4 linked regions of the Kluyveromyces lactis genome follow. The protein of the gene in region 1 purifies or fractionates together with the protein of each later gene. This does not show direct contact. Links are inferred from orthologs where the notes say so. Each region holds a gene or a part of one and is shown in the gene's direction. Other genes may lie near its edges.

What was found.
Region 2: the proteins of QCR8 (region 1) and QCR2 purify together in Saccharomyces cerevisiae (affinity purification with mass spectrometry; 4 studies listed by BioGRID, with this or other methods). This does not show direct contact. The link is inferred for Kluyveromyces lactis from reciprocal best matches to the Saccharomyces cerevisiae genes QCR8 and QCR2.
Region 3: the proteins of QCR8 (region 1) and RCF2 purify together in Saccharomyces cerevisiae (affinity purification with mass spectrometry; 3 studies listed by BioGRID, with this or other methods). This does not show direct contact. The link is inferred for Kluyveromyces lactis from reciprocal best matches to the Saccharomyces cerevisiae genes QCR8 and RCF2.
Region 4: the proteins of QCR8 (region 1) and COX13 purify together in Saccharomyces cerevisiae (affinity purification with mass spectrometry; 3 studies listed by BioGRID, with this or other methods). This does not show direct contact. The link is inferred for Kluyveromyces lactis from reciprocal best matches to the Saccharomyces cerevisiae genes QCR8 and COX13.

The regions. Positions count from the first base shown.
Region 1 is NC_006037.1:609,745-611,867, forward strand, and holds QCR8 (ubiquinol--cytochrome-c reductase subunit 8), read left to right. Parts: upstream 1-1,310; coding exon 1,311-1,595; downstream 1,596-2,123. Other genes in the region: ERG20 (bifunctional (2E,6E)-farnesyl diphosphate synthase/dimethylallyltranstransferase), read left to right, coding at 1-1,015. UniProt on the Saccharomyces cerevisiae protein: Component of the ubiquinol-cytochrome c oxidoreductase, a multisubunit transmembrane complex that is part of the mitochondrial electron transport chain which drives oxidative phosphorylation.
Region 2 is NC_006038.1:323,309-326,187, forward strand, and holds QCR2 (ubiquinol--cytochrome-c reductase subunit 2), read left to right. Parts: upstream 1-1,227; coding exon 1,228-2,310; downstream 2,311-2,879. Other genes in the region: RPC82 (DNA-directed RNA polymerase III subunit C82), read right to left, coding at 1-341. UniProt on the Saccharomyces cerevisiae protein: Component of the ubiquinol-cytochrome c oxidoreductase, a multisubunit transmembrane complex that is part of the mitochondrial electron transport chain which drives oxidative phosphorylation.
Region 3 is NC_006042.1:573,858-576,293, reverse strand, and holds RCF2 (Rcf2p), read left to right. Parts: upstream 1-1,207; coding exon 1,208-1,873; downstream 1,874-2,436. UniProt on the Saccharomyces cerevisiae protein: Assembly factor that plays a role in the assembly of the respiratory chain supercomplexes (SCs) composed of ubiquinol-cytochrome c oxidoreductase (cytochrome b-c1 complex, complex III, CIII) and cytochrome c oxidase (complex IV, CIV).
Region 4 is NC_006042.1:844,121-846,237, reverse strand, and holds COX13 (cytochrome c oxidase subunit VIa), read left to right. Parts: upstream 1-1,153; coding exon 1,154-1,537; downstream 1,538-2,117. Other genes in the region: IME4 (mRNA (N6-adenosine)-methyltransferase), read left to right, coding at 1-67. UniProt on the Saccharomyces cerevisiae protein: Component of the cytochrome c oxidase, the last enzyme in the mitochondrial electron transport chain which drives oxidative phosphorylation.

The DNA.
Region 1 (2,123 bases):
CCCATCATTAGTACAAGAGCTTAGAGACATCTTGGCCGGGTACGGTATGCCCGAAGAAGCCATCGAATGGTACGAAAAATCATTGAACTACAACACCCCAGGTGGTAAGTTGAACCGTGGTCTTTCTGTCGTTGACACATACGCGCTTTTGAAAGGTTACAAGTCAGTGAGCGAACTATCTGCAGAAGAGTACAAGAAGGTTGCCATCCTTGGTTGGTGTATTGAACTGTTGCAAGCGTACTTCTTGGTTGCTGATGACATGATGGACCAATCGATCACAAGAAGAGGACAACCATGTTGGTACAAAGTGGAAAACGTCGGCGACATTGCGATCAACGATGCATTCATGTTGGAAGGTGCCATCTACTGTCTGTTGAAGAAACACTTCAGAACAGAGCCATACTACGTCGATCTATTGGAATTGTTCCATGACGTTACTTTTCAAACCGAATTGGGTCAGTTGTTGGATTTGATCACTGCACCAGAGGACAAAGTCGACTTATCCAAGTTCTCTTTGGAAAAGCATTCCTTCATCGTTATCTTCAAGACTGCATACTACTCTTTCTACTTAGCAGTGGCACTGGCCATGTTTGCTGCCGGTATTACCGACTCAAAGGACTTGAAACAGGCCAGCGACGTATTGATCCCATTGGGAGAATATTTCCAAATCCAAGACGATTTCTTGGATTGTTTCGGTAAACCAGAAGATATCGGTAAGATTGGTACCGATATCCAAGACAACAAATGTTCTTGGGTCATCAACGTTGCATTGAAGAATGCTACAAAAGAACAAAGAGATATCTTGGACGAAAACTACGGTAGAAAGGATTCTGAAAAGGAACAAAAATGTAGAGCTGTATTCAACGAATTGAACATCCAAGACATCTACCACAAGTACGAAGAAGAAACCGCTTCCAACTTAAGAGAGAAAATCGCTAACATCGACGAATCCCGTGGGTTCAAGGCCGAAGTTCTAACCTTGTTCTTGAACAAAATATACCACAGAAAGAAGTAGGTAAAGCATATATTATCTAACCATTTTAGATCACGTGCAACTAAATAAATAAAAGTAAGTTTCACTACCAGTATCACTGTATACGAACCAATAATACTACGTTTCGGCCTTTTCGCTTCTAAAAGACGAAGTCTTGAAAATCTTCCAGCGAGGGAAAAAGCTTTATATATAAGAAATAAGCTTTAAACCTCTACTTATTCAGATATTCAAATGATGCAAAGATGGAAAACTATTATACATAGTTTAGTCTCTGACTCAGTATCCGCAAGACCAAGAATTAAAATATTAAGACGAAATGGGTGGTCCACATGCTAAGGCTTACATGGGCTGGTGGGGTAGTATAGGTTCCCCAGCCCAAAAGGGTATTACTACATACACTGTTTCTCCATATGCTCAAAAGCCATTGAACAACATCTTCCACAACGCTGTTTTTAACACATTTAGAAGAGTTAAGAGCCAAATTTTGTACATGGCTCTTCCAGCTGCTTTGTACTGGGCTTGGTGGGTCAACTGCAGAGACTACAACGCTTACTTGTACACTAAGGCCGGTAGAGAAGAATTAGAAAGAGTTAACGTTTAAACAATGTTATTACAACACTAGACTAGTTCCTTTCTTTCTTCTGTCCAGGTTTAAAAGCTTACATGGAAAAAGAGGTGCGGCAGCACCCTTTTGACACTTTTATCAACATTCAAGATATATTTCTCACGTCACAAGAACATTTTTTATCATGTCAGGCCATCGAAAAGAGTTTCAGTATTATTAGATACTATTGAAAAGGAGAGAGCGAGTGGAAGTTCACATCCTCGGTTTTTAATTCTCTCTTTTCGGGTTTGGCTCAGTACCGTATTTATTGGAGGTTTTCATCAAGTGGTTACTCCCCTCAAATATATCTTCTATACTTCACTGTTTATACGAATTTGAAAAACTACTTTATTATGAATACTTACATCTGCGTGTCAAGGGCGTGATCGTCGTGCTCATATGTCGACGATCGGTGTGCTTGCCTGTTTTACATGTATATATATATATAGATGGATAAGTTTCTCCACTAATGAAAGTCACGTGACGTTATTACTTTCCCCCCGTAAAGGGTATTTAATCCAATAA
Region 2 (2,879 bases), on another chromosome or scaffold:
GTTTCTTCCAAATATTGTACGCATCTTAATTGAATCAAACTGACCAAAACGGTTTTAATACTGGACAACGAAAGTTCTGGTATGAAAGAATGAATTTCTCTCGTGGAGAGTCTTCCTTTGTTGACCAACACGGATAGAACAGTACTGGCTCTTTCACCAAGATGGGATCTGGCAAGTTCAGAGTATAAAAACGAATCTGGGTTAAGAGTTCTCTGCTCTAATGAAGAGATATCGATTGGTTCTGGTGATGTGGATGTGGATGGTTCTGCGGCTGATACAACACTTGCACCACCATTTGGAACAGCCGCATCGGGGATCAGGGCAGCTTGGGCAGCACTCATGTCAGTGCTTGCAATAACAATTGTTTATTTTCCTACCTTTTCTACAGTCGAGCCACCTTGTTGCAGTAGTCATGCATGTATGCGATGAGATGAGATGAGATCAATTCAATTGATAGATTTTTTTTTTCTTTCAATACGAATGGATGGGTCTTTCAAGAAGATCGAAAGAAACAGGCAACATTATTGTAAGTCACGTGGTCACAACCACGTGACTTTTGTGTTTCTGTGTCACGTGACATCTCATCACTCACGAACCAATCATTTCTAAGAACCGTGTCCAACCATTTTTTCTTCAAATGGTTTACCAATACCCTTTCACAGTGCATTACGCGATTCCTGTCTGTTCCCTCTCACTCCCAGTACGTTCCGCTAAAACCCGATATCCCCTTCTTACTGTGACTCCAAGATGGTCTAAGCACGCTTCTCCTTTCTACAGAATCAGCTCGCTTCTTCTCTGATTCCTCTGTAGAGATCAGTCTTCACATCTCGAAATATCTTTTTTTTTTCAATTTTTTTTTTTTTTGTTAGTTATTGGATTTTATCGCATATAGCTTTATTCAATAGGTTCTTGAAAAATTTATAACAAAATATGACAATTCTACTTCAAAGTTTAGAGCTTTTTGTTTGAAGATTGGTTTTGATTACAGGTTTTGTAAAGATTTGTGATTGATATACTATTTTGATTACTTTGTTTTACTCGTTACTCTGTCAGTGTACTTTTTTTGCTCTGTTTCGATACTTATTTTGTGTGTGAGTAAATATTATTTGAGTTTGGACATTAAAGGAAAAGTAGAGGAAGACCTTTTGATTAACGCATAATTGATATTGATATTGATTGATATTCTGACTCCCAAAATTAAAAAGCCCATAAACATATAATATAAAGATGTTGTCCAGTAGATTACAATTTGCCCAGCAAACTGCTAGAAAATTCAGTATTTCCGCTAAAGACGGTTCCGGTAAACTATCCACTTTGGCTGTTAAGGTTCACGGTGGTTCTCGTTACGCCGACAAAGAAGGTATTGCCCACCTTTTGTCCAGATTCAACTTCCATAACACCGGTAACAAGTCTGCTTTGAGATTGGTTAGAGAAAGTGAATTGTTGGGTGGTAAGTTCGAATCCAGTGTTGACAGAGAATACATCACTTTGAAGGCTACTTTCTTGAAGGAAGATCTTCCATACTTCGTTAACGCTTTGGGTAACGTTTTGTACAAGACCAGTTTCAGACCCCACGAATTACCAGAATCTGTCTTGCCAGCTGCTAAGTACGACATTTCCGTTTCTGAAACTAACCCAATCAACAAGGCCGAAGACTTACTTTACAATGTCTCTTTCAGAAAGGACTTAGGTAACACAGTTCTATACAGAGGTGTCGAGAAGGTCACCTTGGATGATATCAAGGCTTATGCCAACAAGGTCTACACCAAGGAAAACATTGAAATTGTTGGTCAAGGTGTCAACGAAGCTGACTTGAAGAGATTTGTCAACGACTCTTTGATTGGTTCTTTACCAACTGGCTCCAAGTTGGCTGCTCAAGCTCAACCAAAGTTCTTCTCCGGTGAAGCCAGATTAAGTGCTCCAGGTGCCTCCGTTGCCGCTATCGCTGTTCCAGTTACTAAGGAACAGTTCGCTACCTACGAAGTCTTGGCTAAGTACCTAACCTCTGCTTTGTCCGAATTGTCTCCATTAATTGACTCAGCTAAGTTAGACAAGTACGCTAATGCCGGCTTGTTCTCTTTATACGTCAAGGGTGAGGATGCTTCTGTCGTTGCTGAAAACATAAAGAAGGTCGTTGATACCTTGAAGAAGGATGTCGACATTTCAGCTGCTAAGGAATACACTGCCTTGCAATTATCTTTGGAAAACGCTCCAATCGATGTCTCTAATGTCAAGAATGTCAAGTTGGACAAATTCTCTTACGCCGCTGTAGGTAACGTCGCTAAGCTACCTTTCGCTGATGAATTGTAAATTTCATCACAGTTAAAAATAACTCACAGATTTTAACCTTTCTCCTACTAGCCAAAGTTACACACATAGTACTTTAAAACTGAAAAAAAAACAACAAACAAACACACATATTCATGAGAGATGACAGAATCACATCACTGAAATGTTTAGAAACGATATTACATTTCTATTGTACATATTTTTTATTATCTTTTACCTTTCGTGGCTTTTGGAAACATTGCAACCTAAAAGAAACCAATAAAATTCAAAAACAAAACTCTCTAAGATTCAAAAGAACACCTTTAACCTTTGGAAAAACTGGTGATGTTAAAAGAGAACCCGTCAATATCTTAATCTTTTGAAATGTGCAGAAGCCACTGATCAAATTCAACAGTTCTGTTGATTCATACAATCCCCATCACTGCTCTTAAGAAAAACAATCAAACAGAGGTTGTGGTGATATTGCAAGAACGTTGGTTTAATACGTAGTGTGTCTTCTTGCCGAACCTATTTTTATTTTCACATATCATCTTAGAAACTTATCACTTATTTATTGAAGTATATATCTCTGAACAAATATCAGTTAACAT
Region 3 (2,436 bases), on another chromosome or scaffold:
TTTTACAAGTATTTCAGTAGAGACTCAAGCTAGTATACATATCGGTTACGTCAAAACAGAGTGATGTACAAAACTCTGCTGGCCATATTCAAAGCAAAGGCTTTCCACATATTAAGCTCTTTTTCTTAAGAGTAGAAACCTGAAAAATAGTATTTCGGCGATTTCTCAAAATGGTAATCACTCTCCCTTGTATTAAAAGGTCAGGCTAATGAACGCAACACTGCACTAATTGCAATGGATATTATCCGAACGATCCGATGCCTTAGGTCCAAAACTGAAGCTTTTCGAAGATCCTGTAACTCTATTGGATGAATCTGGTAGGTTCCAGCTGTTAGGGTTAGTCGATGCATATTCTCTGCTCTTCCTTTTTTTTTAAACATGTGTGACTGACCAATCATATCACAGGAAACTTTGTGTCAAGGAAATGTGGAGCCACAACCGTGGCAAATTCCGACCGGCTTCTTCTCAGGTAACAACTACTAAAACCACTATCTCCGTATGCACGCGCAAATCCTTCTGAGTAGGACAGTTCGTTCGGCTGGTCCCACTTAGGTATTAGCTTCGCTAAAGTATGGATTGATTTTGAACATCAGTGTAATGAACATAGTCACTTTCTAATTGACGGAGTTATTTTCAGACAAAAACTTGTCTGACCTTTGGAAGAAATTTCAATCGAATGGTTCATTGATACGTTGATAGCAATGAACAGGTTACGCTGAGCCTGTTCATGGGCTGGCAACAAGAACGAGAGATATAGGGTTTGGCTAACTGCCAAAATTACGTAACATCAGTAGCAGTGCCTCATGGACAATCATAAATCCTAAATCGTATACGATATTGCAGGAAAAAGAAATAAAGGAACAAAGAATATTTATCATACGGGAAGGAAAAAAGTAAAAAAGTAAAATCGAACCAAAATTAAAGTATAATTGGAACAAAGGCAGGGAGGGAATTTAAAAGTATCGTATATAAGGAAGAGCATTCTCTCGGTTTATTCGTTTACAGAATCATTTCAAATTATATATATATATATCGTTTGACAGTTAAAATTTGTTAATGCTTATCCTCTTGGCTAAAATAAATATCGGGATATATTAGGATTTTGTTCCAGTATTAATTCGATATTTATCACCTTATTTAAACTAAGGGAATCAAAAGTTAGCTTAAGAGATAAGTAACTGAAAGACGAAAAAACCAGCACAGCAAGATGAAGATTTTAACAAGAGAAGAAATTGATGCTCATCGTCACTACACCCTGATGGGTGGTGTTAAAGGTGCAGCTGCAGGTCTGTTAATTTCTGCAGCTATGTTCAGGTTTTTACCCCATCGTTATCCTAAATTCAATCCAAAGGCTATGACATGGTCTGTCAAGACTGCTTTATTCATCACGCCTCCAACTCTTTTGGCTTCTATTGTCGCTGAAGAATCTTCTAACAGTTTTGATAAGAAAATGTATGGTGACTCTTCGTCCAGTGATATTCTTGCTGAACATAACAGATGGAAGAACCTGCCTATGAGCGAAAAATTGGTCGAAGGTTTGTCCAACAATAAGTACAAGATCATTGTTGGTGCATGGGCTGCTTCCTTGTATGGATCCTGGAAATTGGTTGATAGGGACTTATACATGACCAAAGCCCAAAAGGCTGTGCAGGCAAGAATGTATGCTCAAGGTATAACTGTGATTTTGTTACTAGCCTCAATTGGTTTATCTATGTACGAGGAAAAGCTACATCCAGATCAAAAGAAGGAGGCTAGAGACCGTCGTTGGCAAGCGGCTTTGGAGCATGCTGAGAAGGAAGAAGAGATGGCTGCAACCGCTGGTTACAGAAGTAACGAAGACAGAGTTAAGGCCAAGATTTTTAAATATGATTGAATTTTTGAAGAATTCAATCTAGCTGAGGTGAAATACGATATTGCCTTCACACTACAAGGCGTACAATTCTATTTTCACCCTCATCACATCCTTCTTGTGAATAATTTTGACCCATATACTATTAACTGTTTTTTTTTTACAGCACTGCCTTGTACGAAATGAAATGAAGCAGATCTAACGTACCAAATCTACCTTTCATGGTGAGTTATTTTGTCTCACATTATTCTATGTCATGACAAGTTAATAAAAGAAGATCTATTTTTTATCATTGATTATTGTAACAGTTTCATTGCATCGTGGCGCAACCATCCACGAGATCAAAAATGCGGGCGTGCTGCCTTACCTGTTATGGTTGTTTTTTAATGTCAGCTTATTTCAATTTTTTTTCAATAGAGACGGCTGGTACGGCTTTCATAACATTATACCACTACTTTTTTGAACCAATCAAGAACCTTCATAAATTATCAAAAATGCGGACCAAAATTGCTTGTAATCTTTTCATTTCTAATAGAGCAACTTGCTCACTCAATGCAGCTTTGTTTTAGATAGAGCGTACAAATCCT
Region 4 (2,117 bases), on another chromosome or scaffold:
TGAAGTGGATGTGAAAAGGAAATACGAAAGATTCATGGAAAAATCAAAGAATTCAAAGACAAACTAAAGATGTAATACTCTCTTTACTTCAAATGTCCTAGCTTTTATTTGTCGATACACAGTATCCATTAGGAGTCTGTATGTGTTCCTTCTTACTTTTCTTCTTTTTTTTAATTTATGTCATACGCCCTTGTAATTACAAACGTTACATTACCCACAAGTTCGTGCTACACTTAAGCAGCAATAGGCAATCTTTTGATTTCCATAACCATGGCTGATCCTACGGGCGTTCTATTAGCCAACGCGCTTGTTTTTTGAATTCAATGCAACAAGCTCTCAGCTTAATCTAGCATTCTATATATTAGGAACGGTGTTTCTGTCCACTACACCAACCCCAGCCGGCAAGTCCCTGCAGCAGCTACTAGAATGACATGCGATGGCTCAGGTTTGCTAAAAACCCAAAATCAATTACCGCCAGGCCGTGAAACAAATATTGTTACCCGGACTTGAATTCCTGAACGTCAATATTACACTGTTTGTCAATATGTATAAAGAGATGCAACAGAAACAGAAAATAAAGTAGGAAGTACTTCTGAATCTGTTGCCAGTGTGAACGGTATCGTATGAGCTACTTGTGGGTTTGTAGTCCCGGCGAGACAGCAACACCATTTAAACAAGGAATAGGAACCTTTTATGCTCAGTGTCCATTACCAGAACTTAAGTCTCTCGTGACCAGCAACCAATCATTTTCATACCGTGTAATGTGATACCGAAATTACAACATCGAAAAAGCATGATCTTTGTCTAGTTTCTCCGTCGTGCCATTTTTGGTTTTTTATATGGAGTGGGATATGGAAATATCGCGAGAGAGATTGTGTTGATGCTAGAAAATTTTGGAGGTAGGAAAAAAAAAATTGTTTAATAGTTAGGAAAGTTCAAGTTATTAAAGCTACTCTTTCCATAATAGAAAAGGTTTTATTGGTAAGTCAAAGTACTTTTTTAAAAGAGATTTTTGTGATTAGTTTTCTTACTGTTTACAATTCATTTTACATTCATTTCGAGTTTGATATCTATTTAACGTCAACTGTGTTTGGTGAATTAATTCCATAAGGATATTCTGTTTCGAAAAGCCAGACCCTAGATATAATCAAAAATGTTCAAACAAGCCATTAGAAGAGCTTCTACTCTACCAAAGTATGCTTTGGAACCAGCTTTCGGTAAGCCAGATTTGGCTGCTGCCCAAGCTTACAAGGACTACATGAAGCACAGTACTGAGCACGCTAAGCAAACCTCTAACTTGTGGGTTAAGATCTCCATATTTGTTGCTGCTCCAGCTATTGCTCTGACCGCTGTCAACACCTACTTCGTTGAAGCTGAACACGCTGAGCACCGTGAACATTTGAAGCACGTTCCAGATGAAGAATGGCCAAGAGACTACGAATTCCAAAACTTAAGACAAAAGCCTTTCTTCTGGGGTGACGGTGACAAGACTTTGTTCTGGAACCCAGTCATTAACAGACACGTCTCTCACGATTAAACACAGTTCGATAAATGATCTCAACTTGTTGGGCTTTGGCCATTCATAATGAAATATCAAGATAGCCCCTGCCTGTGGGTTTTTTTATCTTTTAAAACACCTTTTATCAAATATCCTCAAATTATCTTCAAAAGAATTCAAACATCCGTTTAATCTGGCATTATACTTCAAAATACAACAAACATATGGATAAACTTTATAGTGGAGTTTCCACCATACAAATAATTATTATTTAACTCAAGAAGAATAAACACACTTTTTATCTTTATTGTAAATTCAGTCCTAGAAAAATAGAATAAAACACGTCACACTGTGTCAATGATCATAAGTAGATATAAGTTTCTTCATTATCAATATCTATTGTACTGAATCTGTGACAAGCAGTACATCAACTTCGATATGCTCAGCGTTATGGCAAACGTCTTTAGTAACTCAATACTTACTTTTTTTTCACGAATGATGAATACAAACTGACTTTACGTTCCAAAAACTTTAACTTTACATTGTTCCCCATTGTTAACCGAACAAAAAATAAGGGGAAAACGAAAAGTGATACGCTGGTACAGCGTATATACAACAT